2 linked regions of the Ovis aries genome follow. The protein of the gene in region 1 interacts with the protein of each later gene in a pairwise test. Links are inferred from orthologs where the notes say so. Each region holds a gene or a part of one and is shown in the gene's direction. Other genes may lie near its edges.

The links.
Region 2: the proteins of MAP1A (region 1) and RHOB interact in a two-hybrid assay, tested with the Homo sapiens proteins (2 studies listed by BioGRID and IntAct). The link is inferred for Ovis aries from reciprocal best matches to the Homo sapiens genes MAP1A and RHOB.

What each region holds. Positions count from the first base shown.
Region 1 is NC_056071.1:53,086,678-53,102,272, forward strand, and holds the start of MAP1A (microtubule-associated protein 1A), read left to right. Parts: upstream 1-5,150; 5' UTR 5,151-5,212; coding exon 5,213-5,450; intron 5,451-5,815; exon of another isoform or gene 5,816-5,978; intron 5,979-6,314; exon of another isoform or gene 6,315-6,399; coding exon 6,400-6,501; intron 6,502-6,899; exon of another isoform or gene 6,900-7,151; intron 7,152-7,363; exon of another isoform or gene 7,364-8,247; intron 8,248-11,562; exon of another isoform or gene 11,563-11,642; intron 11,643-12,720; exon of another isoform or gene 12,721-12,887; intron 12,888-14,535; coding exon 14,536-14,618; intron 14,619-14,884; coding exon 14,885-15,025; intron 15,026-15,251; coding exon 15,252-15,595. UniProt on the Homo sapiens protein: Structural protein involved in the filamentous cross-bridging between microtubules and other skeletal elements.
Region 2 is NC_056056.1:28,321,367-28,336,778, forward strand, and holds RHOB (rho-related GTP-binding protein RhoB), read left to right. Parts: upstream 1-5,853; 5' UTR 5,854-5,896; coding exon 5,897-6,487; 3' UTR 6,488-7,982; downstream 7,983-15,412. UniProt on the Homo sapiens protein: Mediates apoptosis in neoplastically transformed cells after DNA damage. Not essential for development but affects cell adhesion and growth factor signaling in transformed cells. Plays a negative role in tumorigenesis as deletion causes tumor formation.

The sequences.
Region 1 (15,595 bases):
GACATATGATAAAGGATCAAGAAGTGATAAGGAATTCCCTGATGGCCTATAGGTTAAGAATCTGCCTGCCAGTGCAAAGGACATGGGTTAAATCCCTGGTCTGGGAAGATACCACATGCCACAGGGCAACTAAGCCTGTGTTGCACAACTACTGAGCTCACAGGCCTAGAGGCCGTGAGCCACAACTACTGAAGCCACCGCAGTGAGAAGCCCACCCACTGCAATGAAGAGTAGCCCCTGTTCACACCAACTAGAGAAAGCCCAAGTGCAACAACAAAGACCCAGTACAACCAAAATCAAAAGGAAAGAGAACTGATGAGAAGACAAACGATTTCTGAGTTAATTTATATGCAAAGTACATCATGAGAAAAGCTGGGCTCGGTGAAGCACAAGCTGGCATGAAGATTGCCAGGAGAAATATCAATAACCTCAGATATGCAGATGATACCACCCTCATGGCAGAAAGAGAAGAACTAAAGAACCTCTTGATGAAAGTGGAAGAGGAGAGTGAAAAAGTTGGCTTAAAACTCAACATCCAGAAAACTAAGATCATGGCATCTGGTCCCATCACTTCATGGCAAATAGATGGGGAAACAGTGCAAACAGTGAAAGACTTTATTTTGGGGGGCTCCAAAATCACTGCACATGGTGACTGCAGCCATGAAATTAAGACACTTGCTCCTTCGAAGAAAATTTATGACCAATCTAGTGAAAGTGACCAATCTAGGCAGCATATTAAAAAGCAGAGACATTACTTTGCCAACAAAGGTCCATCTAGTCAAAGCTACAGTTTCTCTAGTAGTCATGTATGGATATGAGTTGAACTATAAAGAAAGCTGAGCACTGAAGAATTGATGCTTTTGAACTATGGTGTTGGAGAAGACTCTTGAGAGTCCCTTGGACAGCAAGGAGATCCAAGCAGTCCATCCTAAAGGAAATCAGTCCTGAACATTCATCGGAAGGAATGATGCTGAAGCTGAAACTCCAATACTTTGGCCATCTGATGTGAAGAACTGACTCATTTGAAAAGACCCCGATGCTGGGAAAGACTGAAGGTGGGAAAAGAAGGGGACGACAGAGGATGAGATGGTTGGATGGCATGACCGACTCAATGGACATGAGTTCTGAGTAAACTCTGGGAGTTGGTGATGGACACGGAGGCCTGGTGTGCTGCAGTCTATGGGGTCGCAGAGTCGGACACAACTGAGCAACTGAACTGTACTGAACTGAATGTTGTAAAGGTAACAATATTTCTGCAACCCAAGTAAATACTCCTTGAAGGAAAGTGACTCTATGATATGAAATCTTGAAAAAAATGATGCAAAATTTAATTCACACATAGGCATGGCCTCAAAACTAAGTAATACATTTTGTGCCTCTTTACCACCATCCTCTTCATCATCACATGAAAATCCTTAGAGATTCTTATAGTAAGAGCAACTTCGTTTAGACTAAAGGAAAAGATGGTTATCAGAGACCACAGCCAAACACTGACTTTCATTTCAGACACTAATCAAACAGAAAAGAGAAAATGATATCCATAAATGTTTCTTTTTTACTCTTGGAAATGACTTTAAGAGAAGTGTGTGGATAGCGAAGGAAGAAAAAGTTTCTTTATTGTCCGTTTCAATGCTCTGCACAGGGAGGGGAAACCCAGTGCCCTGATCCTCCCATTACTTAGTGAATAAATAATAATTAGGACAATTATGCAAAAAATGTTTATTGTGGGCTTCTTCTGTGTGGAAGATAGAGTAGTAATAAATGCAGACTTCTTCCCCATCTCAAACTTTTTAGAGATTATTTTTATTCAGTGCCTCATTAGAGGTTATTTCACTCAGATAAACCATGCAGATAAACCATGCCTTTGCAGATAAACCATGCAAAGAGGTGACCTTATGGTTGCTGGTTTGTATTATGATCCTAGTATTCTCCCCAAAAGCCAAGGATAAGCTTCTGACACAGCAATCCTGTAATTCAACACACCTCTCTCTTTGTAAAGAATGCTTTAATAGGCACAACTGAGTACAGGGTAGGAATGTGAGCTGCATTCAGCTCCTTTTGTATATCTTGGTTGATAAGACTATGCAATCCAGCACAGCCAGCTGGAATTCTGCCAAATGAGCTGAGATCCCCATAAAACTGACATTCATTGGACTAGCGGGGAGGAGCCAGTACATTTTCTTTACGAATTATCAGAGCTAGCCTAAGTCCTATGGAGACCCTAAGTATTCAAAGGACGATGGCGCCTTCCTCTCTCACACATACACAATTCTAGATGAAAGTAGTTCATTCCAATACATTTGTCATTTTCTCATGAGGATAACTTTAATAATATAAATAACAAAATGACATTATTTCAAAAAAAAACATAGAAATGCCCCTCCTACTTTGTTAAGTATCTGTATAATTTACCTGTTGCATATTTATCACTATACATTATGAACTGACAAAGGTCTGGGTGCTGAGAATCCTTAAGTGGCTTAAACTTAGCCAAGGCTACAATTACCTTTCAAACCATTTACGATCTGTAATATCTTTTGCCTCGAGCCCACTCCCATACATACCCAAGCAAAGAGCCTGTAATAGTGTCTTCCTTTGAAATCTACGCTAACTTCCTTTTTCAGTGATAGATCCTTAGAGACCCCTTTCACAATTCAAGGGTCCTTCATCACAAAATAGTTTGGAAAGCAGATTGTAACCACTATATTTGCCAATGCTATAGGACAAGAATGTGGAAGAAACTATAGAAGAGCACAATTTCCAAAAGATCATACCTGGTCAGTTTGAGGGGTAAACAGTTAAATGAAACATTACAGCAGGCTCTATCACCATCACACACTACTGAACATGCTTCACAATCACGTATATCTTAGGTTCTCAGTTGGATGGGTCTTTGAATGCTCCTGCCACAGCAAACTATTCCTAAACACAAAATAGGGTTTTAAATACTTTGCAACTCATATATAAATGTATTTCTTTAAAATTTTTATCCAGCTTTCTATGCCTTGTACATATATGCAATCTGTTTTCTGTCTGCAGTTGCAAAATTCTGGCGCACAGATACTAACATTCCAGGCTATTTTTAGTCCCATCACAGTCCGTATTTAGGGACTTCCCTGGTGGTTCAGACAGTAAAGAATCCACCTACAATGAAGGAGACTCAAGTTCAATCCCTGGGTCGGAAAGATCCCCTGGAGAAGGGCATGGCAACCCACTCCAGTATTCTTGCCTGGAAAATCCTATGGTCAGAGGAGCCTGGCAGGCTATAGTCTATGGGGTCAGGACACAACTGAGCGACTAACAGTTTCACTTTCCTTTACCAGTCTGTATTTGCAGCTCTAATTAATAAAAAAAGCCAATTCTAGCAGGGTCTGACATCACAGGCCTGAATTGCTGCCCCTACCATCTGATCAGTGTGCGGTCCTTCCTTACAGAATTCAGATCTATTGTCTAATCTCTTTGTCAAAACTGATGAAAGCAGAGCCTGTGCTTAACTGCAGATGACCGTTATACTGAGGCCCTGTGCTAGTTAAAGGCCCATCTTTACAGTTGCTATGGTAACTGTCCCCTTCCTCTCTCTACAACCTATTCTGGCTCTGCCTCCACGTGGCACTCTTTTCTGATTGCAGAAACGGGGAGGCTTGCACATCCATTTGTGCTCTTTGCCAGACTGAGATCTGCAAATGGGGGGCGGGTGGGTAGAGAAGAGCACTGTCTCATGTGTCAAATAGGGTGAGGCATCCCCACCATTTTATATTCCACTGGTACTATTTCTGTTACACAAAGGATTTTCAGGGCCCTGTCCATGGTTTGTTGTTTGTTTTTTTTTAATTTGAGGTGTAACTGACATATAACACTATGTTAGTTTCAGATAGGGCCATATCCAAATTGCAGAATGGATGTTTTGCTAGTAACAAATGCTTCATGATAAGAACCAGGGCTACTGTGAGGTACTTAAAATGCAGACACTGTCCAACCCTCATCAAGGCCTCCAAAGAGGAGGTGAATCAGAAGGTGGCTCACAGCCGTGCTGAATCAAGCACTGTGCTCCTTTCTTTCCTGTACCATCCGGAAAGTGTATGGCACAGGGAACCCACAAAAGTACTGCTGGAGTCCTAGGGCGGAAGGCAAGCTCTGCTCTGTGTGATACACATACAGAATGACTCAGTATCCTGGGTAAAAGAAGATACAGGAGTGCAGAGTAGGTGGTGGGGACAGGCTGAGGAAAGGAGGGAGGGGGTGTGGATTAGGCTTTTAGCACCACACCATTTTCACAAGGATGTTCCAGGCAATCATAAAACAGTGCCAGCCTCCTTAGTCCTCTTTCACATCCTCTGGTTTTGGCTCTTTTTTTTTTTTTGGAAGGGCCAATCTCTTCCCTTGTTCAAACACTGTCCCTTCAGTTTTGAGAATTCCCTGGGAGAACTAATACCATTGTCTCCCAAGGTTACCCAATTCACTGTGTCACAAGTAGTTGGGAAGGACTTTTCTGGGTTTTACTCAAATCCCCTTTGCTGCAGTCTGAGCTCATTGCACTCAGTAGAGATGGAGACAAGCCAACCACTATCTTCGGAATAACAACTCACCAGGGACTCAGGGCCGGAAGGTCATTCTGTCCGTCCTGATACTGCACAGCCTTCCAGAGCACACCCAGGGCCTGGGGCAATGAGGACAGAAAAACCGAGGACGGAATCTAGGACCCTGGCAGGCAGTGACAGGAGGGAAAAAAAAAAGAAAAAAAACCACCTCCAAACAACGATAATACAGACACACCGACTGAAGGATACACCAAACTCAAGCAGAGAGGGACAAGATGGCTCCCCTCAGTACTGTCGAGGCTGCGGAACTGCCAGACAGCACTTACTCGGAAAACAGACTACCTAGAAGCTTCTTCTGGCGCGGAGGCAAAAGACTCGCCCCTCCACCCGGCCCGCAGAGCCCCCACCCCTACTCTAGTCCGACTATCTGCTCCCTCTGGAAAACGAGTGATGACGGAGGGGGAAAGCCAATCCCCCCACCTCGGTACCCGCCCCCCACGCCCAGCGACACCGCAGAGCCGGAGCGTCGCGGCCGCAGCCCCGCCCCTGCGGCGCCAGTGCTCCGCCCCCTGACAGGCAGCAGCCAATGAACGACTTCTGCTGCCGGCCTTTAAGAACCGCGCGCACTCTCCCCGCAGCGGACGCGGCTGGCCTAGCGCGCCAACGGAGTTTCCATGGAGACCGAGGCTGGGCCCGGGCGGCCTCGCGGCGTTGCCATGGAGACAAATCCCGGGCTAGGGCTCCGCAGCCCCGGCTCTCCGCCGGCTCAGAACCCCGCGGAGCCGCTGCGCGAGGCCGGAGCCGTGGTGGCGGCGGCACGCTGGGACCTGCGGAAGCACTCTTTGCTCATCGTGATCGGAGATATCGCTACAGAGAGTCAGCTGAGGGCCGTTCGGGCCCACCTTGAACAAGGTGAGCTGCTGTCCTGGCTGCGCCCGGGACATCCTCCATCCCGTGCTTCCCTGCCGTCTGCATCCTCTATCCCTAGTGTGCATTTCCTGAGATCTGCGCGCCCTGTTAATCTGAATCATCAGCCCCTGTCACCTGCATCTTCTATGTCACGCGTTCGTATCCTCCCAAACTGCATCTCACAACCCCATCCTCGCCTCACGCCCCACGGCGTTCCGCAATCTCCCTGAGGCAGGGGTGGGGGTAGGGGTGGGGGAGCTGGCACTGCCTGGGTGGGGATGCCCTCGGTTATACCCCTCTCTCCCGCAGTGTCTTGGGCCAGAGGTCCTGAAAGTCCTCACCATCCCATGCAGAGTCCATGTCCCTACCTTAGTTTCTTCTTTAGGTCTCCTGAACAGGCACAGTGTGCTTTCTGAATGCTGCAGACAGATCTCAAATATCCCAGTGCTAGCGGCCAATCTGAAAGAGTGACCTTAGTGGCCACAAGCTCTTCAGCCCTCCACTGCCTGTGGCGCAATGCTGCGGAGCCACCTGCGGGTGGAAGCAAGCCACGGAGGAGTGGAGGCAAGGAGGGGGCCACAGGAGGAAAGTCCAGGATCCTACTTCGCTGTATTGGGAAGGCAGCCCCTAGTATCTGGAAATGGGCCCTTGGGTGTCACTTCTATCACAACTGGGCAACTCTGTAAGAAAATTCCTACATACAAATTCACCAATGACCAAATTTAGCCTAAACTGCCCTCCTTCCCCTAGCTCAAGCAAAGTCAAGAATGGTACAGGACGGGAGCTAGACATAGGACTGGCCACCTTTCTTAAATACATTAGTGAGGCTGATCATGACAACCATCCTTATCCCCTCCCTCTCCTTACCCCTTCTGTGAGCTTGGAAATGCTCCCCGAAGTCCAGTCCCTCTGACCTTATCTGGGTCTCTCTTTGTTTCTTTTTCTCTCACAGGCATTCTCTCCTGGAACATTGATTTATCATCCATTGACTTGAACCAACAATTGAGACTCTTCATTACCCGGCATCTAGCTCACTTCTCATCAGAGGTCAAAGGTTAGGACTAGTGTCATTTGTCTCGGTGCTGTGGGTGAGGGATGGTCACAGAAGAGCAGAGGTCCAGTCTCTCTGGCAGAACTGACCTTGTGGGAAGTTTGGGTTGGGGAGAAGGGAGGGGTTCCTGAGGGGAATGCTGTAGAGCTCTATAGCGATCTCCACATACCCAGGTCACTTCACAGACAAATGGTATGATGGTGGAGGAAGCCTGGAGAATGTAATTTCTGCCTGATAAGGGGTGGTTTAAGGACAGCCAACGTGCACTAAGGGAATGAGGTACCTCTTGAGTGATTAATCATCTCCTATGTAAAAGTTCACTCTCTTTTTTGTGTTCCCCTTTCTGTATACCCTGGGCTCCTTGCTTCCCTTTACAGGGACCCTTGAACTCCCCCACTCACCTTTCCAGATCCTTGCTTAGCACTTTCCCTCAGGCTGCACAGCCTATCCTCCAGCCTCTAGGGTTTCTGGTTCCTCCTTTGGCTCAGTCAGCAGATGTTCAGAACAGAGCAGAAACCTTGACCCAAAGGCTGATGAGCACCATCAAATGCAAAGTGGAAGCAGCGTTTCCTGGGTTCACTGCTGCAAGAGCTAGCCATACTTTGAGATTTGGCTCTGAGATCAAAGTTTGCAGGATGCAGTTTCCCATTCTGCTGTGTGGGAGAAATGGTCAGGAATTTGAGAAAAGTAACATTTTAGAAGCTATTATTCCATGACAGTACCTATGGGAAGACTTACAGAAAGCTCTACATCGCATTATAAAAATGCTTGGGCATCTGGTCATGTTATTGGTAAATGTCGGCAAACCAATTCATACACCAGTGTCTCTATGGAATATAAATCCACCCAGTTCAACAGTCCTTACCATCAAATGACTGAATTCGTATCTTATGCAGATGATTCTCAATTATCCATTATATTAGACAGTCACTTCCCCTTCTTGTTCTGCTCCTCCTGCTAACTGCCACATCGTTGGTCATTGCCCTGATCACCTGTCCCTCTAGAGCTGCTCCTGGAGAGAGAAGACAAGTTTAATGTGACTAATGCTATATTATCTTAGAACTATGTGCAGCATTTTGAAAATGCTGTGGCCCAGCTCCTTCTAGAGGCTGGCATCTTCTTGATGTGACTGGCTTCCTATGAAGCTAACCAGTCGCTGTTTTGAGACTTCCTTCTGTTTAGTATACTTACGCCATGGCTTCCTCCATTAGCTCTAACAATGTGAAAATCGACAGTTTTACCACTTTATTAATCCTAGGAGCTTTGGTGCAAGGCTGGAGAAAGGGATGACAGCAGATGAAATTAATGACTCAATTGAAGTTTGGGAAGTATCTGCTGATTGTTATTAATTCACGCTGAATTTTCAAACCTTGTCTTTTTGGACATGGATGTGAGAGAAGGATGCTTTCTGGAATGATGTAAGAATGAAGAGAACTTGAACCAAAAAACTTAGCCATTCTTCAGATGAAGATTGGGGGATGCTTGGGAAAATACTTACAGGGAGATGCATAGTTACTCTCAGGGACCTCTCAGACTGACATACAAACACCTACCAGATCTTTTCAATAACAGAGTTTTAGCATGGTGCCCTCAAGGAGCTTAGGACAATTATACCCAATATCAGGGCTTACTTCTGAATTTTTTTAGGTTTGGACATTTTTCATGGTGGCCTGTCTCTGTCCCTGGAGAATAGTGGATAATTTCCTGGAAAAACCTACATGGCTCAAGACAGCCACAGCCCCACCCCTGCTGGCTCCTCTTTCAGCTGTCCCCACAAACAACAGTCAGCCCAGAGCAGCTGCAGACACTGCCCCTCCCTTCAGCTTCCATTAGTGGGGAGGCCAAGGGAACCAGGCTGCTGGGATGAGCTCCATGGCATATGCTAGTAGCTTACGATTTTATCTGTTCTGCCCACCCCACAGGCTGGGCCACCATCTCTCTCAACTCTCCTCGAGCCCTAGGTCAAAATGCTGAAAAGGGGGGACAAAAATGTATCTTGTGATGATAGAGTACAATCATTCCTGCTACCACCCTTTACACACACACACAAACCACATACACACACACATAGGGAGAGTACAGTCATTCCTTCCACCACCCTTTACACACACACACACACACACACACACACAGAAAGGAAGGGGACCCTTTGATGGAGAGTCACACACACACACACAGAAAGGAAGGAGATCCTTTGATGGAGAGTCTCACACACACATACACACACACACACACACACACACAGAAAGGAAGGGGACCCTTTGATGGAGAGTCACACACACACACACACACAGAAAGGAAGGAGATCCTTTGATGGAGAGTCTCACACACACATACACACACACACACACGGAAAGGAAGGGGACCCTTTGATGGAGAGTCAGTGGCCCAGCTCCTTCTAGTGGTCAAATGTGGTAAAGGCTTTCCAAGGTAAATTTTGTACCACTTTGGTCTCCAATGGTGACTTGGAAGCTTCCTTTCTAACTCCTGCAAAAAAAAAAAAAAAAAAAACTCTGGAGTTTCCAAGCATTTTAAAACAAACCCCAAAACAATTAGAACAGTGGGAGTTATTTAAGCTCAGAACTGTGATACTGCTTCTACTATTGAGCACATATAGGAAGGAAGAGTGTTTCGTAATTTATAATTCATGATTGATATTCTGGGACTAAAACAGACACAGGCTCAAGGGCCAGTTTGGAAGCCTTCTTTCTGATGCTGCATCACCACTGATGTGCTCAGGAAATGTTAGTTCTGTTCCTTCTGCAAACATGAAGCCTATTCTGAACTGATACAGCAGCTCATTGGCCCCTAGAACTGGGGTTCGCACCGATGTCAGAAATGGGAAAGGAGGGACATGAAGAGTACGTGAAGTCCCTTCTGACAGGCACTTTGAGTCATGGCTTTACCTTGGAGCTAAATTAATCTAGAGTTGAGATATTCTGGTTTAGGAGTTCCTGATCACCTAGGTGACCTCTCATAAATCTTCCACAAGAGGGAGACAGACTTCCAGTGGCATTTGTGCATTACGGGTTTAAGGTTCTAGGAATGAAGCACTTTTTCATCTTTTATGTCATTTACTCCTTGTGGCGCTATTGGAGGGTGGTACTAATATTATACTCATTTTGGAATTCAGGAAGTCATCTTTCAGAAACCTTAAGTGGCTTGTTTAAAAACATGATTAGTAAAATGGCAGAGTCAGATCTCAGATCCAGGACTTCTGATCTCACTTTGTGTCTGAGCTCGGGCCTCTCTTCCTCGGCATCTCACCATTGCATTGCAGCAGAGCCAAGGAACACAGCGGATGGAGGTGTGGTTGTGGTGGGTAGGCTGTTCAGATGGTGAGGGCTGAAGGAAAACTCCGCTGTGAGTTGGAACCTTGCCCAGGGTGTGGCTCTTGGGGGTGATAGCTGAGAATAAGGGTGGGCTCTGCAATGGTCTGGGAAATGTTATTTTGTTCTCAAACCACATGTCTACTCAAGTTTCCCTCTTAGCACACTCCAGAGAGCTCTAGAAAGCAGGGAGGAGAGAGAAGGTTCGAGGTGGGAGAAAATAAGAACTATGAAGTTGCAGAAAGGAAGTGTCTCCCCTTTGTGATGCTCGGAACTCAGCCTGGTTTGTGTTGTACGTCTCTGCAGATGGCCTCCTCTATCCAAATGGGGCCGTTGCCATGTTACTGCTTTGCATCCCCGGATCTGAGCAAAGATTCCTCCCCCTCTTTAGTCCCCCCCCCCCCCCACTGGTGACTCAGCTCCTCCTCTCCTCTCCAGTTTACGGGGGATGGGGATACTGAGAGCAGAGACTATTTTGGCTTCTCTGACCTTCAAAAGCAGCTCTTGGCAGCCAGGGGCAAGGGTGGAGCCGGTGCTAGGGAAGAGTGAGTGGATGTCACTGGGAGGAAGCAGGAGGAATTGCCCAGGACTGGGGAGGGTTGATGGGAGGGAACAGGGCAGGGAAGGACCCTGTAGGAACTTGAGCATCACCGGTTGGAACTCAGTGCTAGAGCTCCCTGGGTCCTCTCTTTGAGTCCTAGAGCGTGTCACCAAATCTGAGACAGAAGAGGCTAAGGGAAACAGGACCAATGTTAAAAGGATTAAGACCCTATAAAATGAAGACATCAGAGAGACATAGCAAAGTACAGAGACAAGAACAGGGACCCAACACCCTACAAAGTCATTATAAGATCTTTTTAGTCCAAAGTGTACTTTATGTGACATTTAATAATTGGTCTATAGAAAGAAACTCTTATAGGCCTGGGGCCCTGCTGATCTTCCTTCATCCCTTTAACTATTTCACTGAAAGGTAGAATGTGCCCTGAAACTTCAGAAAATGCCTCTTCATACTCAAAGAACAAGAATTCCAAGTATCAGTGCCTGTGTGGTTGCTGTGCTGTGCTGCATTGGCACAGAATTGTAGGCAGTCTTAGGGCCCCTGTGCCCCACCCCAGACGGGCTAGAGATGGACTAGGGACTGTGTGTCCACTCCAGAATTTCAAACTACCCCCCAACCTAAAATGACTTCTTTCTGCCACATTCCCTCCCCGAATGTCTACAGCTGTGGCTCGGAAGACAGCAGAGCTCAGCGCAACTGCCTCCTTTCTGTCATCCCTAGCCTTCTCAAGTAGTCCCTTCACTCCTACCCTAAGCTTTTAGACCCCCAGCCTTTTTGTCTCCTGCTCCTCCAGGGACTGAAGGTCATTCCCCCAGTCTGAGGGGAGAGGCAGCAGATGGTTCCTGAGAGAAAGGGGAGGGCCCAACCTCCTATATCCCCGGCAATGTGTAGCACAGAGTTTGGGTCTTTAGCTAACACTAAAAGAATGTATCTTAACTAAGCAGCGGTGGGGGAGAAGGACCCCCGCCCCGTAGGCCACTGGAGACCACCCTGACTCTTTGAGCTGCTAGACGACTCCTCAGCCCCCAGCCAAGCAGAAGCACTAGAGCGCTGACACTGTGAAGGCAAAGAAACAGTTAAGTCTCTAGAGCCTCGTCATGGACCAGCCCCTCTTCCCCGCCCTGGCGCCGCCCTCACCATCAAGCGCCCCCCTCCCCCCCACCCAACTCCCACCCCAGTGCCGCAGACTCTTCTCTGAAGCTGCCGGCTGAGGCCGGAGCAGCAGCCTCCATGAGGGTCTCCCCCCAACATCCCGGGTAAGAACCTAACCGGGCCAAAGGACTTGGCATGCGGCCGTGGGGGATGCTGTGATGAGGAGGTGGGATGCGGGTAATAGGAAAGGGAGTTGATAACATAATCTGCTGTGTCTGGAACTAGCCTGGCGGGGGTGGGCAGGGTGGGGAGCCAAGAAGATGAACTGACTGTGGGGCCAGCCTGGACCCAGAACCAGGCGGAGGCCAGTGGGGCCAGCACTGTAACAGGCCACCGCGCGAGCTGGGCTGAGCTGGGCTGAGCTGGGTGCAGCCGCCCAGGAGCAGCCGCAGAGGGTGGTGTCACCAGCTCTGCCCAGCGGCCTGGGGCTCAGACGGAGTTAGAGACGGGCTGTGTCTTTGGTAGAGACAGAAGAATTAGAGGGAAAGGCGGATGTTGTGGGAATGCACCGAATGGGAGAGTCTCTGTGTGTCAGCTGCTGGATTGCTCAGCTGCTCCGATGCAGGGGGGTGAATGGGACCGCGAGTTTTTGCCAAGTAAGGGAAGGTGGGGGACACTTTGGAAAAGAAGGGAGGAAGGGGTCGTTAAGACTTGGCACGCGCCTCTTCACAGACCAGCCGGTGTGCGGTGTGCTCCCCACACCCATTCCCGGCAACCTTCGAGCTTGAAACTTGGACTCGAAGCCCCCTCTTTCTGGCTGCCTCCGGGGATGGAGAGGCCGTCTCGGAGACGGGGAGCGCTTGCTCCCCAGCAGCTGCCCCGCATTCCCAGGGCTGTCAACCCAGCCGGCTCCCAGTCACGGCCCCACCCCCATCTCCGCTTCTCTTCCCAAGATGGGGGCTCCGAACAGAGGAGCCGGTTTCTTCTCCTCTCGGCGTCCCCCCCTTTTCCCTCCCCACCCCCCATGCAGAGGCAGCCAAGAAAATGACTTGTCATGCTGGGGTGGGGGCGGGGGCGGAGCCGGAGCCGGAGCTCAGCGCGCACACTCACACACTGCGGCACACTGCAGCTGCCCGGCCCCCTCCCGCCCGCCTCACTGCGGAGACACCTGCCCTCCCGGCTCCGCACCCGCAGCCACCCCCGCCCCCACTAACCCCATCCCTGGCCTGGGGATGTGCCTCTGACTCAAAGCAGTCCTCTCCGAAGAAAGCGGCAAAACAAGTCCGTGGCCTTCAGTGGGATTGCGAGGGGAGCTGAAGAGAGGCAGAGGGCTTCCTCCCGGCCCCGAAAAGGAGGGGCGCGGGATACAAACCATGGAGTAGTGGCCAGTCACAGCCAGAGCGCCCAGGGTGAGCCATAGGGTCTTACGCCAAGACCGGAATTGGTGGTTACAAACCAGTCTAGGGGGCCGGGGTTGGGGGCGATGGCAGACTGGGGGGGAACAGAGGCAGTGGAGAGAAAGCAAATTGGACTGTATCACAGATGTTTCCTTTTCTGATCCTCCTAGCTCAAGTGTGTTGACCTTGGGCGTTTGTGCTGGGGTTGCAGGAGATAGTGGAGCTGCCCTTCCAAATCTAAACTACTTAGAGCCCGCCTTGGGCTGGCTGCTCCCTGAATCCTTGAAGTCCCTCATCCCTCACCTGCCCAAGCCCTGCCCCCTGCTGACTCCGAGGTGGTTCTCATCCTCTGAACTGACCTCAAAGCGTCCCTCAGTTCGCAAGTTAACAGAAGAGAACCCTTGAACTCCGCATGGGCCCCGCCCACCCTGCGTGGGCCTTGGTCTTCCGGCACCATCGGTAGTTTATTTCCCTGCAGCTGCCAGATCTGCCAGATCCTGGCACCATCGCTCTTCCGCTTAACAAAGGCCCTGGCCCCGGGGTCCTCTTGTCTGAGCCCCAGAGAGAGGAGAGAGCGCTGGGTCACAGAAGAGGGTCTGGGGGACAGGTTATGAGTCCTCCCACCAGTGTCCTCCAGACAGCCCACTTCCACACCGACCACCTATTCAGTCGGTGAGGGTGAGAGGAGCCAGGGCTGGCAGCACCCTTCTTCGGGATCTCCTCTCTAACCTAGCTCTTTCTTTCCTGCATTGCTTGGTGTGTATTCTGTCCCCCACCCCACCCCCGTAGCCTGGGGAACGCGCTGAACCTCTCCTATCTTAACTGTTTCTTGTTTGTGCACCCCAGACTCCCCTCCCTATGACAGAAGGCCCATAGGAGAGGCACAGGAGTGAGAGGAGAAACTGTTGTTCTCTCGGAGAGGTCAGGTTGTGGGGAGTGAACCAGGAGCCTTGGGGACGTGGAGCTGAGGTGGGAGATGGAAACCTTTAGTGGTGGGAACAGGATGACTGTGTTTGTGAGTGCAGGCTTGGCCTCTGAGGAACCAGAAAACAGATTAAGAGGTCCTGTTTCTCCTCTGCATTGTAACTCCCTAGGGTTTAGATAGCTCAGACTGCTCTGAGGCCTTTGGAATGGGATGTTGGGCCTCGGATGGGAGTTTGAAAAGAGGATGAGTCCGTACCCACTGCCGTCTCCTTATTTCCAGGCACTCTGGCAAGAAAGCCCTGGGCAGAGGCAAGCTAGTGAGCAGAAAGCTGAGTGAGGATCAATGTCGCAGAAGCCCCTCCTCCAGCTGAGCCCCCCATCCCCAGGCAGCACCAGGAGCTTAGTGCTCCAGAGCGACAGAGAGGGACAAAAGGTTCTTGTCAGCAGGGCAGCCTGAGGCGGGAGTTCCAGGCAGAGGGGGTGTTAGATGAGGGGAGGGAGCAGACAGCCAGTGCGGAAGGAGGAAACCCTGGAAGGGAAGGACTGCAGCCCGGAGCCAGTCCCCAGACCTTACTCAGCAGGTCCCAAAGTGGCAGGATCAAGGAGAGCCAGGCTACTCTTTCCCCCAGCCTCATTTTCTGATAGTGCAGTTTTTCCTCTCCTGCCCTACACAATGCCTCTCCACTTTAGTCTCTACCCACTTCCCTCAATACAAATTCCTACATCTCTCCCTCAGGCCAGAGGACCCTCTGCCACCAGAGTGAGATCCTAGAGACTGTCATCCTCGTAAACCCCAGTGCCGACAGCATCAGCTCTGAGGTAAGGCCAGGGCCTGAGCCGCACTGGCCTCAAGGGCCTGCTGAAAGTGCCATAACCCACCCCAGCCAGTGCCAAGAATCCCCAGGCTTGGCTTTGAACCACGCTCTCTCTGCCATCTAAGCTGCCTCACAATTCCAGCCCCACCTGGAGGTGCTGTGGGGCTCCCAGTGGGGAGCGTGTCCTTGCCGTGCTGAGGGGGACCTGGAACCTTCAGTGCCCTTTCCTGGGCTTCCTCCATCGTGACCAATCCTCTGTTTCTGCTGTAGGTTCACCACCTCCTCAGCAGCCCATCAGCTCACAAACTGCTGATCTTGAGTGGGCAGAGTTTAGAGCCTGGGGGAGACCTCATCCTACAGAGTGGCACCTATTCCTATCAAAATTTTGCCCAGGTCCTTCACAACCCAGAGGTGAGTCCTATGTCCCAGTGTCTAGGAGGAATAGAACATGGAGTGTGCCTAGAGCTGTGGGGAGGGATCCAAGGAAGGGAAAATCCTATGGCCCTTGACCACCGGGGATGCTGGCAGAATGGTAGGAGATCACCTCAGAGAGAGATGGAGACTAGCAGGTTAAATCTGAGTCGGGTTGAGACGACCCCAGTGACCTGATCAGGCCTTTTGTCTCCCATTCCTCCAGATTGCCCAACTACTCAGCAACAGAGACCCTGGGATCCAGGCTTTCCTCACCGTGTCCTGCTTAGGGGAGGGCGACTGGAGCCACCTGGGACTATCCAGTTCCCAAGAGACCCTGCACCTCCGGCTAAACCCTGAGCCCACGCTGCCCACCATGGATGGCGTGGCTGAATTTTCCGAGTACGTCTCTGAGACTGTGGATGTGCCGTCCCCCTTCGACCTGCTGGAGCCCCCCACCTCAGGCGGCTTCCTCAAGCTCTCCAAGCCTTGCTGCTACATCTTCCCTGGTGGCCGCGGGGACTCGGCCCTCTTTGCCGTTAATGGTTTCAACATCCTGGTGGACGGTGG
Region 2 (15,412 bases), on another chromosome or scaffold:
TGGCTGACTTTATTTTGGGGGGCTCCAAAATCACTGTGGATGGTGATTGCAGCCATGAAATTAAAAGATGCTTGCTCCTTGGAAGGAAAGTTATGACCAACCTAGACAGCATATTAAAAAGCAGAGACATTACTTTGCCAACAAAGGTCGGTCTAGTCAAGGCTATGGTTTTTCCAGTAGTCACATATGGATGTGAGAGTTGGACTATAAAGAAAGCTGAGTGCTGAAGAATTGATGCTTTTGAACTGTGGTGTTGGAGAAGACTCTTGAGAGTCCCTTGGACTGCAAGGAGATCCAACCAGTCCATCTTAAAGATCAGTCCTGGGTGTTCATTGGAGGGAATGATGTTGAAGCGGAAACTCCAATACTTTGGCCACCTGATGAGGAAAGCTGACTCATTTGAAAACACCCTGATGCTGGGAAAGATTGAGGGCAGGAGGAGAAGGGGTCAACAGAGGATGAGATGGCTGATGGCATCACTGACACAATGGACATGGGTTTGGGTGGACTCTGGGAGTTGGTGATGGACAGGGAAGCCTGGCGTGCTGTAGTTCATAATGTCGCAAAGAGTCAGACACGACTGAACAACTGAAGTGAGCTGAACTGATAGCTGGAGAACCCAGAAAGCAGTTTGATGCCTCAGCTATGTAATGCATGGCTAAATGGGTCCCAAACAGACCATATGGGATCACTTCGATTTTTCCATATGAAAAAGCACAGTTAGGTCTACAATAGCCTTTCCCTTTTAGAAACTCACTGCATTGAGAAGAAAAGTTGACAATTTTCCTAGACACTCTAAGCTACTACTTGAATTAGAAATAGTTTAAAAATCAAAAGAATGCCAGGAATGTCTATGGTATTGCTGGCTTCCAGTAAATGCTTATCCATAAATGAATTATTATTAGTTCTAATTATATCAGATTATCCAATGATGCTTTTTTAGCTGGAGGAGAAAGCAGATGATTTTTGCAGTTCAAATTACTTTATAACTTTCTATGCATCGTGATTAGGTTAAAAGAAATTCCATTGGTATATAAATTAGTAAGTTTCCACAGCTGTTATCTCCTCTAATCTCTTTTAGTCATTACTATTTAACTAGGAAGGAATTAATTTTTTTAAGTGTATGTGAAAAAAGTTCTGTGTGTATATAAATATATGTGAAGAATTTTTAAAGAAGCTGCTTGTGAAACAAGTAGAGGTTTTACATCCCATGAAATATCTTAAAAATAGTCATAAAATACCTCCCTTCTGGCTAAAGTTTTATATAATCACATATATAATATATATAGAAAATATTTGTAAGATATTTGTATACAGCTTATATACGTATATAAATTGCCAAAATTCGTTGGATCATGGAGAAAGGAAGGGAATTCCAGAAAAACATCTACTTCTGCTTCATTAACTAGACTAAAGCCTTAACTGTGTGGATCACAGCAAACTCTGAAAAATTCTTGGAAACAGGAGTACCTGACCACCTTATCCGTCTCCTGAAAAAGTTATATGCAGGTAAAGAAGCAAAAGTTAGAAATGGACATGGACAAACATACTGGTCCCAAACTGGGAAAGGAGTACAAGGCTGGATATTGTCACCCTGTTTTTACATGCAGAGTATATCATGAGAAATGTCTGGCTGGATGAATCACCAAGCTGGAATTAAGATTGCCAGGAGAAATATCAACAACCTCAGATATACACATGATACCACTCTAATGGCAGAAAGTGAAGAGGAACTAAAAAGCCTCTTGATGAGGAGAGGAGAGTGGAAAAGCCGGTTTGAAATTCTACACTCAAAAAACTAAGATCATGGCATCTGGTCCCTTCATTTCATGGCAAATAGAAGGGGAAAATGTGGAAGCAGTGACAGATTTTATTTTGGGGGGCTCCAAAATCACCGTGAATGGTGACTGCAGCCATGAAATTAAAAGACACTTGCTCCTTGGAAGGAAAGCTATGACAAACCTAGACAAGGTATTAAAAATCAGAGACATCACTTTGCCAAAAAAGGTCCCTATAGTCAAAACTTTGGTTTTTCCAGTAGTCATGTACTGTTGTGAGAGTTGGACCATAATGAAGGCTCAACTTCAAATAATTGATGCTTTCCAATTGTGCTGGAGAAGACTCTCGAGAGTTCCTTGGACACCAAGGAGATCAAACCAGTCAATCCTAAGGAAAAATCAGTCCTGAATATTCACTGAAAGGAATGTTGCTTAAGCTGAAGCTCCAATACTTTGGCTACTTGATTCGAAGAGCCCATTCCCTGGGAAAGATTGCAGGCAGGAGAAGGGGGCAGCAGAGGATGAGATGGTTAGATAGTGTCACTGACTCAGTGTACATGAATTTGAGCAAATTCTAGGAGGTAGTGGAGAACTGAGGAGCTGAAGTCCTCAGTGGGGGTGGCAAAAACTCAGACATGACTTAGTGACTGAACCACCACAATTATATATATATTTTTTGAGTTGGGGGGAAAAAAAGCCCTGTAAAAATTACCACAAGGTGGCACTAAAATCCAATGAACATTCCAGTCTCTTAGTCTGTTCTTGTCTGTATGGAGTGAGGGGGGCGGGAGAGGGGGGCTGATTTACAGGCAATGTGTAGGAGACAGTGGACAAAAAAAGACGAAATAAATTAAGCTGAAGACAGGAGGTAGATTAACATCTCCCTTTTGTCTGAAGGATAATTTCCCTCTCTCACTAGTGTGGATATCTGTCATACAATGAATGTATATGTTAATAAAGTTAACTATTAAAATGATTTGTTCTTGATGATTCAGTTTTATCCTTGCCTTTTGCCAGCGTATTGTGAAGGGAGGGGAGAGGCAAGGAGGAGACCCTTTGGGACATCATCTAGTTTCGGAAAGTTTATCCTGTGACTGGTACGATCTTTGAAGTAGCCACTGTCCACAAAGCTTGTCAAAGTACCCTGGATATACAAATGAATACCATGGAAAGAAGTTGCTACAGAACATAGATTTTTTTCTACTTGTTTATTTTGGCATAATTTACCAACTGAATATTTCTAGATATTATTTTGATATTGAGAGTCAAGCTTGGAACACCTCATATAATATGTCTGAGAATCAGGAAATGAGTGAATTGAATCCTTCTTCCTGATTCTTTGTTTTCCTGTTGTTTTCTTTTAAATACATGGTACAAAGCTTTAATTGTTTGATGTTTTCTTAATATTTGAAGCTTAATGACACAGCCAAGATTCCCAAGTTATATTAAGATGAAGGAAAGTAGTATTAACAATACAGCTATAAAAGGTTTTGACTATAGGAGGAAAAACTTGGGTAAGATTTTTCTAATAGGCTAACTAAAATTTAAAAGAAAGGAAAAAGTTTCAAGAATGGAGCCTTAAACAAATGATCCAAAAGAAAAAAACAAACAAAACCTTACTTTCTCTTGTGAGATTCCACTGTGGAAAAATTGTTTACTTATTGACAGTTCAGTTTCTTAGATCTGAAAAACAAACAAACAAAAAAACACTAGGCATTGTAGTGGAGGTAATCCAACGTGAGGGAAGCAGATTTGGTCATTTGAACGAGGTTAGCTTTTAAATGACACTAGAACTAATGTCTTATTTGACCTGATGATATCTGTGTCCATCTGAGACCTACGTTTTGACACATGGATCACATTTTTCGCATATATGAGTAAATGGCTCAGTTACAGCTGGTGCCCAGGTTTGACTGGATGGTTAGCACAGACTGGAGTTTGAGATAAGAGACTTCCAGAAAGTTCCAACTAAGTTCCTGAGCATTTAAGTGAATTCTCCACAGTCATTTACTGATTTTTACGTAGATGCAGACTCCGGCATTGTGCCAGCGCTTCAAGATGCTAAGATAAGGAAGAATTCGGGCCTTCCAACGGCTTCCAGTCAGAGGGGGAGTCAGAAGTAGGAGGCAATAACCTCATCGTGATCAAACACTGAAGGCAGGAGGAGAAGGGGATGACAGAAGATGAGATGGTTGGATGGCCTCACCAATTAGATGGACATGAATCTGAGCAGGCTGTAGGAGTTGGTGATGCACAGGGAAGCCTGGCAAGCTGCAGCCCATGGGGTCGTAAAGAGTCAGACACGACTGAGCGACTGAATTGAACTGAACCTCATCGTGATGTAGTGAGTCTCTCCTTTCTGAAACGCCAAGAAGCATCCCACTCCCCCCAGAATGGAAATGGCCCAACCTGTGTAGTTGGTTCCTCCACAACTGGTCTCCATCCTGAGTTTCAACTCTTTCTCTCCCAACCAAGGGAAGCCACACTAAGCTATTCTCTTTTGTTAGAATTTGTCCTACTCTTTCCCCACATCTCTGTTTTTGCTCAAGCTGTTCCTCCTTCCTGGGAGGTCCTCCCTCCCTTCCTCCTTCCATCCGCCTCCCCACCTCTTCTATCCATTAAGATGCTTTGACTTAGGCCCCTCTAGATCAGACATAAGTGTCATCTCCTGCAGAATACAAGGAGTAGATGAAACAAGTCCTGGTGGGTTGCCAGAGACTAGGTTTCTAGCACACTCCCCACCCTCAAACACACACACTAATTTGTCCTGTTCTAGCCTGCAAGTTTCTCAGCCCACCCATCCGGGCTTCAGCCTATTCTTGCCTAATGGGGTGTGGGGTGGTTGGATTTTATTGCACTACTTACTTCAGATAAACCAGGATCCAAATTAATCCTGCAAGCCAGGACTGAGGCTGCCCTTTTCTGTCTGGTTACTTCCTGAGTGTACCTGAAGTTCTGCAATCAGCCTCGACCTTCCCTTTTCACTGACCCTCTTTCCCTGAACCTTCACCTGGAGACCTTAGGCTGGGTGCCCGAGAAAGCGGTAAAGAGACTGGCTTGTTAAAGCCGGAAACCGGAACCAGGCCCACCCATAAGGCACCCTCTAGCAGATCCAAACACGGCCCAGGGAAAGAACCCTCGTGGAAGCATGGTGGCAGGCTCGACAAGGGGAGGGGCTGCTTCTAAAAGAAAAAAGAAAAAGAAAAAACAACAACAACAAACCACAACCTTGATTGGAAATAAGCCTGTGTGCGTGTGTGTCTGCGTGTCTGTGCATTTAAAAACAAAACCACGTTAAAGGAGCCGCTCCCTACCCTACAGGTCCGACCACCCGCTGGGAGTTTGCGAAGCAAGCAGGGCAATACGAGTGGGAGAGACTCATTCACGCGCCCACAAAGTGCCTCCTGTCTCGGAACCGCTCGCCCAGGCCCCGCGGGCTGCTCCGGGCAGCCGTCTTCAGCCCTTCGGTCCCGCGCGCAGAAAGAGCGAACCTTGACGCAGCCAGAGACCCGCAGCTCCCGCCGCGGCGGCAAACTCCCCAGTCGCCGCCTCTCCCAGCCCCGCGGCCTGGGCAGTCAATCAAGCCCGCCCGGCCCCTCCCGTGGGCTGCAGGGGACGGCCAATCAAAGCCAAGCTCCGCAGCGATGAGCTCAGTCGGCTTGCTTCCCATTGGACGGCTATATTAAGAAAGTCGCCGAACTCTTTAAATAGCGGGCGCTAGGGCCGCAGCCTGCATCTGCCGCCGCAGTCGGGCTGAGTTCGTGTTCTCTCTTGTGTTTTCGCCTAGGCCTAGGGAGATCCAGGAGGGAGCTAGGCCGCATCCGCTTGCTCTGGCCACCGTTTGCTCACAAAGGCGCCGACCCGAGACCAGGGGCGAGGAGAGCGGCCGCCGCTCGGGAGCAGCGCGGAGACGCACCGTGCGCCCTATGCCCCCGAGTCCCCCACCGCCCCCGCCGCGGCAGTCCGAGCACTACGAGGGAACGCGCGCCATCCCGGGACCTGGGTGCAGCTAGCGACCCTTGTCCCCAGCGCGCAGCCCGAGGTGAGCAGTGAGCGGCGAGCGGGACGGCAGCGAGGCGTTCGCGGGGCCCCTCCTGCTGCCCGGGCCCGGCCCGCTTATGGCGGCCATCCGCAAGAAGCTGGTGGTGGTGGGCGACGGCGCGTGCGGCAAGACGTGCCTGCTGATTGTGTTCAGTAAGGACGAGTTCCCCGAGGTGTACGTGCCCACAGTCTTCGAGAACTATGTGGCCGACATCGAGGTGGACGGCAAGCAGGTGGAGCTGGCGCTGTGGGACACGGCGGGGCAGGAGGACTACGACCGCCTGCGGCCGCTCTCCTACCCGGACACCGACGTGATCCTCATGTGCTTTTCGGTGGACAGCCCGGATTCGCTGGAGAACATCCCCGAGAAGTGGGTGCCCGAGGTGAAGCACTTCTGCCCCAACGTGCCCATCATCCTCGTGGCCAACAAGAAAGACCTGCGCAGCGATGAGCACGTCCGCACAGAGCTGGCCCGCATGAAGCAGGAACCGGTGCGCACGGATGACGGCCGCGCTATGGCCGTGCGCATCCAAGCCTACGACTACCTCGAGTGCTCGGCCAAGACCAAGGAGGGCGTCCGAGAGGTCTTCGAGACGGCCACGCGCGCCGCGCTGCAGAAGCGCTACGGCTCCCAGAACGGCTGCATCAACTGCTGCAAGGTGCTATGAGGGCCGCGCCCGACCCGCCTGCCCCTGCCAGCGCGGCTCCCCATCCCGGGCCCGTCCCCCACGAGCCCGGAGAAGGGGAGAACCTTGCCCCCCCCAAAGACCCCCACCGGACTGCCTGGCGTCTGCTTTCAGCCCCGGCAGCCGTGGCCTGGAGACTCAGGCTCTGGCACCCGAGAATCGGCCGCGTGGTAGGCACCCGGCGCCCCCTTTCCAAGTGTCTGTGCGTCCGGCTGTGTGGCACAGGCTTGGCCACCCCACTGAGTGCCAAGGGTCCCCTGAACACCATTTTCTGAAGAGCGAAGCCTCTTCAGGGTGTGTGGCTGTGTGTATGTTCGACTCCCCGCTGCCGAGTTTTCACCCCACGCCAGCCCCTGCTCCCCGGACATGAGCTTGGCGCCGGGATGCGGCCGCGCCCCATCGGATGTGCGTCTGTAACCAGTGAGCGCCTGCTATGCCCTGTCTGTAACATAGACCTCGGGACCTGCGGGAGGGGAGGGCTGGGGAGGATGGGGTGTTATATAAATATAGATATAATTTTATTTTCGGAGGTAGGATGGTGTTATTTAATGGTGGTGGTGGGTGGAGTGACAGGGCGCTAGAACAGCTCCAGCCGGGTCTGAGTGAGGCGTCATCCCAGCACGAACAAGACTTGGCCATGTTTCCTACCCCTGGGGAAGACATTTGCAGCTGACTTGGGGCCTGAGAGGACACAGCTTCCAGACTCCTGTCTCCTGCCAGCCAGCCCCCCCACCCCCCACCCCCCGGCGAACCCCTCACTAGCCATTGAGAAGGAGGGGTGAAGTGTGCTGCAGGTTGTTTTTGCCATAAGCGAACTTTGTGCCTGTCCTGCAAGTGAAAATTGTTCAGTCCAAGAAACTGATGTTATTTGATTTATTTAAAGGCTTAAACTTGTTTTTTTTCTTCTTTTTGGAACGAATTCTTTGCACAATTGTTTCATTGTTTGACATTTAATGCACTTGTCATTTGCATAAGACAGTAGCATTCTGACCACACTTGTACGCTGTAACCTCATCTACTTCTGATGTTTTTTTAAAAAATGATGACTTTTAAAAAACAAGGAGAAGAAAAAGAAACCACTAATTTTTTTCTTTTGAAAAAAGTGGCAACACTGTTCTATTTTGCGATTTTATTTGTGCACGTATGCGCACTCTTTTGATAAAGGGCAGTAACCAGTATTAGGGCCTATCTAAAACCTTTTGTTGTTGGTTTTTTTTTCCCTCAAGGCAGTCTCTAAAGCTGTGTGAAATTTTCTCTGCATCTCTGTACAGAGAATAAACCTCCCTCTTGTGTCTCTTTTCTCCCCCTCCCTTCCCCCATCCAGTGGTACTTCTACTAAATTGTCTTGTTTTTTTATTTTTTAAATAAACTGACAAATGACAAAGTGGTGAGCTTATGATGTTTACATAAAAGTTCTATAAGCTGTGTATACAGTTTTTTATGTAAAATATTAAAAAAACTATGATGATGACATTTATAAAATGGCTCCTGTGGTTTAATGATGTGTAAAAATCTTGTGAATTTGAGGGCAAGGGGAGAACTCGGCTAGGTGAGGCTCCACTAACTCTATTTCCCTCCAAGTGTTTGTAGGAAATGGGGATGAAATCTCTGAGGATGTGAGGGGATTGGGTGGCCAAGGATGACCAGGTTGCTCCTGCCCCAGGGCCAGAGGTTACCCAGGCTCCCAGTGCCACAACCTTTGACCTAATGTGAACTGTCTGAATGGCTTATACACTGTGTCTAAGTCTATTTTGTAGCCTGTGCATCCTATTCTTTGAAACTTGGAAAGTTGTCATTTGTGCATTCAGATAACTTTTTGTTAATCACTGTCTCAAAGACTGGTTCCTGGGTTCCCTTCAGATCTTCAGGGGTTACACAGTGTCCCCCCTGAGATTGTAGGATGTTATCTCTGACCTGAGCTCCTGGGTAGAAGTCGGGGAGAGCCCAAATCAGAAGCCAATCCTTCTGCTGTGGAACTTTCATTTGAGTGTCTGTATGGAGCCCAGAATGCTTTGTTCTAAGTACCAAGAGTAGCCGCCTTACCAACAGAACACTGGAGGTCTTGGGTGGCTGCTATTTAAAGTTGGAGCAACCAGGTTCTGAGGTGGAAATATGATGAGCTCTAATTTCAGACACTCAGCCTGCTGCAGTGGATCTCAGAACCAGACAGGCAGATTAACCTTCAGAGACCACATCAAAATCCCTCTACAGGTATGATGGCTCAAAACTGCCAGCCTCAGCAGCTTCTAGGAAAGGTAGCAGATACTGCCAACCTCCCCTGACTACCTAAGACATGTGGTTTTTGTTTTTGGAATCAACACTTTATGGGTTTCTAGGCCTTAGTTGCCATCCACTGCCACCCACTCCATCCCTCTGCCTCCCTTCCCCCCAGGCAGAGCAGAGAAGGCCCCTTTTAAAGCCCTTTGCTTTAAAACTTGAGGCTTCTGTCTCCCAGTCTTTCCCCAGACTCCCAAGAGCTTTTGCTGAGTAAAGCAAGCCTGGTTACTGATGACTTTTCACCCACTTAAAAACAAACGAAACACATCAATAACAGGGCCTCCTGCACAGCCAGGCTCATTGGTTAACAGAGGATAATTGTCTGGGCTGCTGGAGGCACAGAGCAAAGAGAGGGTCCACTCAAGCTGAGGGAAGGATCCGCAGCCTCATCCTTTCCCCAGGTCCTGACCACACACACCTCCATCCCTCAGCCATTTTTGTCTTCATTTTCAAGACAGAAATTTCCACTGAAAAACAAAATGTTGACTTGCAAGTTTTACAGCTTGCAGATCCTTTGGTACCAGGGAGTGCAGGACTCTGGAGAAGAGCTCAAGCTTGGGCTTAGCGCCCAGGATTCAGCTTTGCAACTGGCCAAGAGCCTGGAGACCTTTTGAAAGGGCCTTTTCTGGGTTTCCTGCCTGCTCTAATCTGCCTGGTACCTATTGCTGTCTGGTTTTTGTTGTTGTTGTTTTTTAATTTTAGGAAGACAGCCACCCAGATGACGCATGGCAGCCTGGGTTATGCTTGTTTTTAAATGCATGGCATTTAATAATGCTGCCGGAACACACTCTTCTTGCATTAGATCCAACTGGAAAATATAAAGATGAATTGCTGTAGGCTGGAAAATCAATTAGGAAAAAAAGAGGCAAAACATCTGGTGTTACTCCTAGGATATGAACATTCATTTTGCACATTTGAAATAAATGTGCTGAGTTCATTTAATTGCCTGTTGAATGGTTTCATGGATAATAGTGGGGTGTTTCATTGATCCTGGGCATTTCATAGCAAAGGGCATTGGCTTGGGTTCTTGTTTAATCTTAATTTGAAGTCAGTCTGGCTTGTGTTTCTACGGTCTTTTTTCACATGTGTTTCCGTGTACTTAGAACAGGGGTTTTCAAACTCAAGCCTGAGTTAGAATCATGTGGAGGGCTGGTTAAAACACAGATGGCTGGGCCTAGCTTCCAGAGTCTCTGATCAGCACATCTGGGGCAGAGAACAAGTGATGCTGGTCCAGGGACCACACTTTGAGAATCCCTGGCTTGGAATAAGGGAGAGTTCTGGTCATTATACCGTGCAGGGAGGTCGTTTCAGCAATAAAGGGAGTCACATTCCTGAGGCTGATGGTGCAGTGGCCTGTAGCCCTGACTGCCCTACCTTAGCGAGCACAGCACTAGCTTTCAGAGAAGTTCCCAGAGAAGTTCAGGGAAGTTTTCAGAGAACTTCCCTCCTATGAAGACCCGCACATAACCCCAGTCTTCTCTTCACACTCTGGTACAACAGGGGGTTTAATGCCCTTCAAAAGATATCTTTCTGCCATTCCCGAGTTCAGAATGCAGCAGCACACTGCTCTGCTAAGACAAGGGTTGCAAAAGCAAATAAGACACAGTCCTTGCCCTGGCGAGGGCAAGTTCCAGGAAGGTGTTCACTGAGCATGCTCAGATGGAGATAGCAGGCCCAGGGCACACTAGGAGCCAAGGGGAAGGTGGAAGGGCTTCATGGAGAAGGAGACATTTGAACCGAATCTTAAAGCAGGAGTGGGTGATGTGTAGTTGGAAGATACAGCTTCTTTATATTACTGTGATAAATATTTATATTTATATTACTGTATATACTTTATATTACTGTAATTACTTTATATTACTGGCCTCTGATGAATACAGCTCTCTTGGGTGAGAACTACCTTCTACTTTTAGCCCCTCTGGCATGCATTTCTTCAGTGAAGAAAAATGATGTTCCCCAGCCAAGTCAAACACAGCCTCTCCCCGGCCCTCCCTGTCCACACACAGACTAGGAATGGAAGTTGGTGATGATGGCTTCATTGTTTTCTCTGTGCCTCCCAGGGATGCGGGGCAAACACAAGGGCTAGCTTTGTGAGAACTGGACTCCTGGAAACACGTAGCCTGGGCTCAGGGACATGGCAACACCCCAAAGGGACCTGGTACTCCAGCCTGTTGTGGGACAGACTCTTAACCACTTTACTTGGTACATCTTCTGGCTGGAGAGAGAAAGTGGGTACTCAGGCTGCTCTTTCAATCAATTCTTGCAGCCCCTTTCCTGGCCTGAGAGGTGTAAGAGTCTGGAGGACCCTGGTTCATTCCTTCTGAATATTTATTGTTGACTAAAGGACACTGTGCCTGGTACTGTGCTAGGAGCTTGGAACTCAGTAGACAATTAGGCAGGCATGGTCCCTCCCCACATAGAGATTTCAATCTGTACAAGTAATAATAACAATGATAATGACAATAGCTACTATTTATTGACTAGGCATCAGGCCCCATTCTAGGCTCTTTATTTGTTCTATTTTATGTCTGTATTGGGCTTCCCAGGTGGTACTAATGATAGAGAACCCGTCTGCCAATGCAGGAGACATAAGAGATGCAGATTTGATCCCTGGGTTGGGAAGATCCCTTGCAGGAAGGGATAAGAACTGTGGTCTTAGAAATTAGACCTTAGGCGACAAGGAAAGGGAATTCCTTTGTCTTTCTGAGGCCGTACTCTAGGTGAATTGAAGGTATTGCTGGGTGGTAATGGGGTGTGGGGAGGGAGGGAAATTTCTGCTCCAACTGGGAAGAATATTATCCATGTCTGGGCAGGTGGGAAAGAGAAGTAGCACTTCTGAGGTTTTCCGCCATGGTGCTTTGAGCTGGGATCAGAGAAAGTATCACCAAGTAAAGGCATTGTGGGATAAGAGTCGTGGTTGTGATGCTCAGCCATCCCACTTTACATGGAGATTGGTTTCCTCATTGCCAACCACAAGTCAGGATGCCTACAGGCACTGTCTGGCACAGAATTGGGTGAGTTTATGGGTCAGCTGAACCAAGAGGGAGTCATTAGGGCACAAGTGGCAATGGAAATCCTTGGAGAAGAAATGAGATGATCCAGGAAGAGTTTGTGGAGTGAGAGGGGATTGCAGGTCAGGTCCTAACCTTCATAGTGAAAAAGCTGACTTAAAACTCAACATTCAGAAAACTAAGATCATGGCATCTGGTCCCATCACTTCATGGCAAATAGACGGGGAAACAGTGGAAAGAGTGACAGACTTTTTTTTTTTTTTTTTGGCTCCAAAATCACTGCAGATGGTGAGTACAACCATGAAATTAAAAGACGCTTGCTCCTTGGAAGAAAAGTTATGACCAACCTAGACAGCATATTAAAAAGCAGAGACATAAGTTTGCCAACAAAGATCTGTCTATTCAAAGCTGTTTTTTCCAGTAGTCATGTATGGATGTGAGAATTGGACTATAAAGAAAGCTGAGCACCGAAGAATTGATCCTTTTGAACTGTGGTGTTGGAGAAGACTCTTGAGAGACCCTTGGACTGCAAGGAGATCCAACCAGTCCATCCTAAAGAAAATCAGTCCTGAATATTCATTAGAAGGACTAATGCTGAAGCTGAAACTCCAATACTTTGGCCACCTGATGTGGAGAACTGACTGATTGTAAAGACCCTGATGTTGGGCAAGACTGAAGGCGGGAGGAGAAGGGGATGACAGAGATGGTTGGATGGCATCACTGACTCAATGGACATAAGTTTGAGTAAACTCCGGAAGCTGGTGATGGACAGGGAGGACTGGCGTGCTGCAGTCCATGGGGTCACAAAGTGTTGGACATGACTGAGCGACTGAACTGAACTGAACTGAACCCCCACAGTGAGCACAAAGGCCATGTCTGCTCCATCACTGCTGTGTGTCTACTGCCCAGTAGGTGTTGACCCATACGAGCACCTCAGTAAGTAGCAAGAGAGTCAATGCATTGATTAAGCAAGAGACAGAAGTTTAGGGAGCACCCACTTCTAAGAGACCCAAGGAAGTGACAAAGGCTGAGAACACCTGCTCTGGGGCATGAGAGAAAGGTCGGTTAAAAAAATGACAGGACTGCACGAAGGGTCGCACAATCCACAGATACTGGATACTCAGAATCAAGCAGATAAATCACTCTGTTCTGACAGGAGTTATGTATGACACAGCAGTGACAAGCAACCAACTGCTTTTGCTGCAGAGGCTGAGTCTAGGGAAGTTAAGAAAGTGCTTCTGTGAGGCCAGGCCTTGGGTGCCAACAGCAACTAGGGAAGGCCTTCTCTGTACCCCACCTCACAGGAATCACGACGTGCTCTTGGCCTGGTGAGGTTTCTGGGGAGGTCCTCCTAGAGACTCCAAGATGATCAGGCAGTGGAAGCACAGGACCACCTGGGGGTCTGGGAGTCCTCAGTGGTTGGTCTCTGCTGTGGGCTGAGCTTCAAGCATCAGAGGGAGCTGGGCAGTTTTGGTTTCCGGGTTGGGAGCTTGGCATAACTGGCCATGATTTTCATTTTAGAAACCATGATCTGAAAGCACAATTCTAAGGGGCCTTGTGCTCTAATGACTCTGTGTGACCTCTGTCCTCTGGCTGTCATTTGGAGCTGTTTTTCTTCTCCCTTCAATCTTGAAAAGGGAAGAAACAAATCTTCCCAGAAGCAAGTTTCTCATCCCTTTGTTAATGATTGATTTCATTTGCTTCCAGGACTTGTTTAACCTTTGGGTAAGCAATTGAAACCTTCTGGAGGCACCTAGAAGGAATGCAGGAATGTGTGTGCTATTTAATGGTAGAGAGATTATAAATGGGACTCGGACAGAATAAAAAGTATTATTTATATGAGTGCTAAAAACAGTCACTTGTAAAATACACACTCGTCCTTAACAGCCAAATATGGCAAAGCATGATATCTGGTCGCATAACCAGGCTGACTCTGTAAATAGGGAGATCAGTCCATCCACTCCCTTCCTCTCAGTTGAGCAATTCTGTGGCTACAAATTTCCTCCCAGAAAGTCTAGAATTGTAGACCAAATGGAGATCCAAGCTACATGTACAAGATAACACCAGAATAAACGAGCCAGTCTGGGATCTCTGAAGGTGTGTGTAGCTGTGCCAACAGAGAATTGTTCAAAGTTTTTACTTCATGGGTAATGGCAGAAATTACAGACTGTATCATTGGTTGCCTGCCAAATCTGAACGCACGAAGATGAAATGCCGTGAAGGCAAAAACAATTCAAAAAGGAAAAAGACTACTAATCAGGCACAAAATGCCATGAGTTCTGCAGTAGACTGATATGATCCAACCTCCATCCACGACCTAGTGACCAATTATAAGAAGGCTCACCAGTTAGCCAAGGGAATTCAGAAGGCCCAGCATCATCATAGGGTGTGATATGGGCCGTGGGATGGGGTAGGGTGGGGTGCAGAGCAGGGCCCAGAAACAGCAGGGATCATGGACCAATTCTGGGCACCTGTAACCCTCTTATCCTCAGCTGGATGTGAGAAGAGATGGTAGCTCAGGGAGTTTGCCAGGAACCTCAAGGAAGAGGGGCAGGAGTGGCGCAGTGCAGGTGTGGGCCCCTGCTCTGTCACATCACTTCTCCTGTATTGCCCATCTGTTTCACCTTCAGGGAAGTCAGGCTGCTTGGTGGGAAAGTTGAGGCTTATAGGCCCCCGCTCTGTCCTTCACGATCTGAGCATTATTGGACCAATTACTTTTACCTTCGTCTGCCTCAGGTTCTTTCTTTGTAGAATGGAAATAATTTTGGAGATTAAACAAGATCAAACCAAGTACTCGGCACAGAGCCCAGCGCATTCTAAGTCCCAGTAAATCTTGATTAACCCTCCCTCTCGTGGATTCATCTTAGCACCTTAAGCACAAGTAGGAGTGGGATAAATCTTGCTGGATAAATGAGTGTGTAATAATAACCACTCATTTGTTTGTCAAGGACTTTTTCAACGGTAAGCTCCTCAGGATATCACATCATCCTCATTTTTGCAACCTCAGCATCCAGCTAGAGGTTGGGCATGTAGTAGTTGCTTGGTAACTGCTAAATTACTGAATAATATCTCAGTTCAGAGGGTCCTTGATAATCTGGAGATTTCTCAGGGTTCAGTTCAGTTCAGTTGCTCGGTTGTGTCCAACTCTTTGCGATCCCATGGACAGCAGCACACCAGGCCTCTCTGTCCATCATCCAACTCCCGGAGTTTACTCAAACTCATGTCCATTGAGTCGGTGATGCCATCCAACCATTTCATCCTCTGTCGTCCCCTTCTCCTCCCGCCTTCAATCTTTCCCAGCACCAGGGTCTTTTCAAATGAGTCACTTCTTCGCATCAGGTGACCAAAGTATTGGAGTTTCAGCTTCAACATCAGTCCTTCCAATGAACACTCAGGACTGATCTCCTTTAGGATGGACTGGTTGGATCTCCTTGCAGTCCAAGGGACTCTCAAGAGTCTTCTCCAACACCACAGTTCAAAAGGATCAATTCTTCAGCGCTCAGCTTTCTTTATAGTCCAGCTCTCACATCCATACATGACTACCAGAAAAACCATAACCTTGACTAGACCGACCTTTATTGGCAAAGTAATGTCTCTACTTTTTAATATGCTGTCTAGG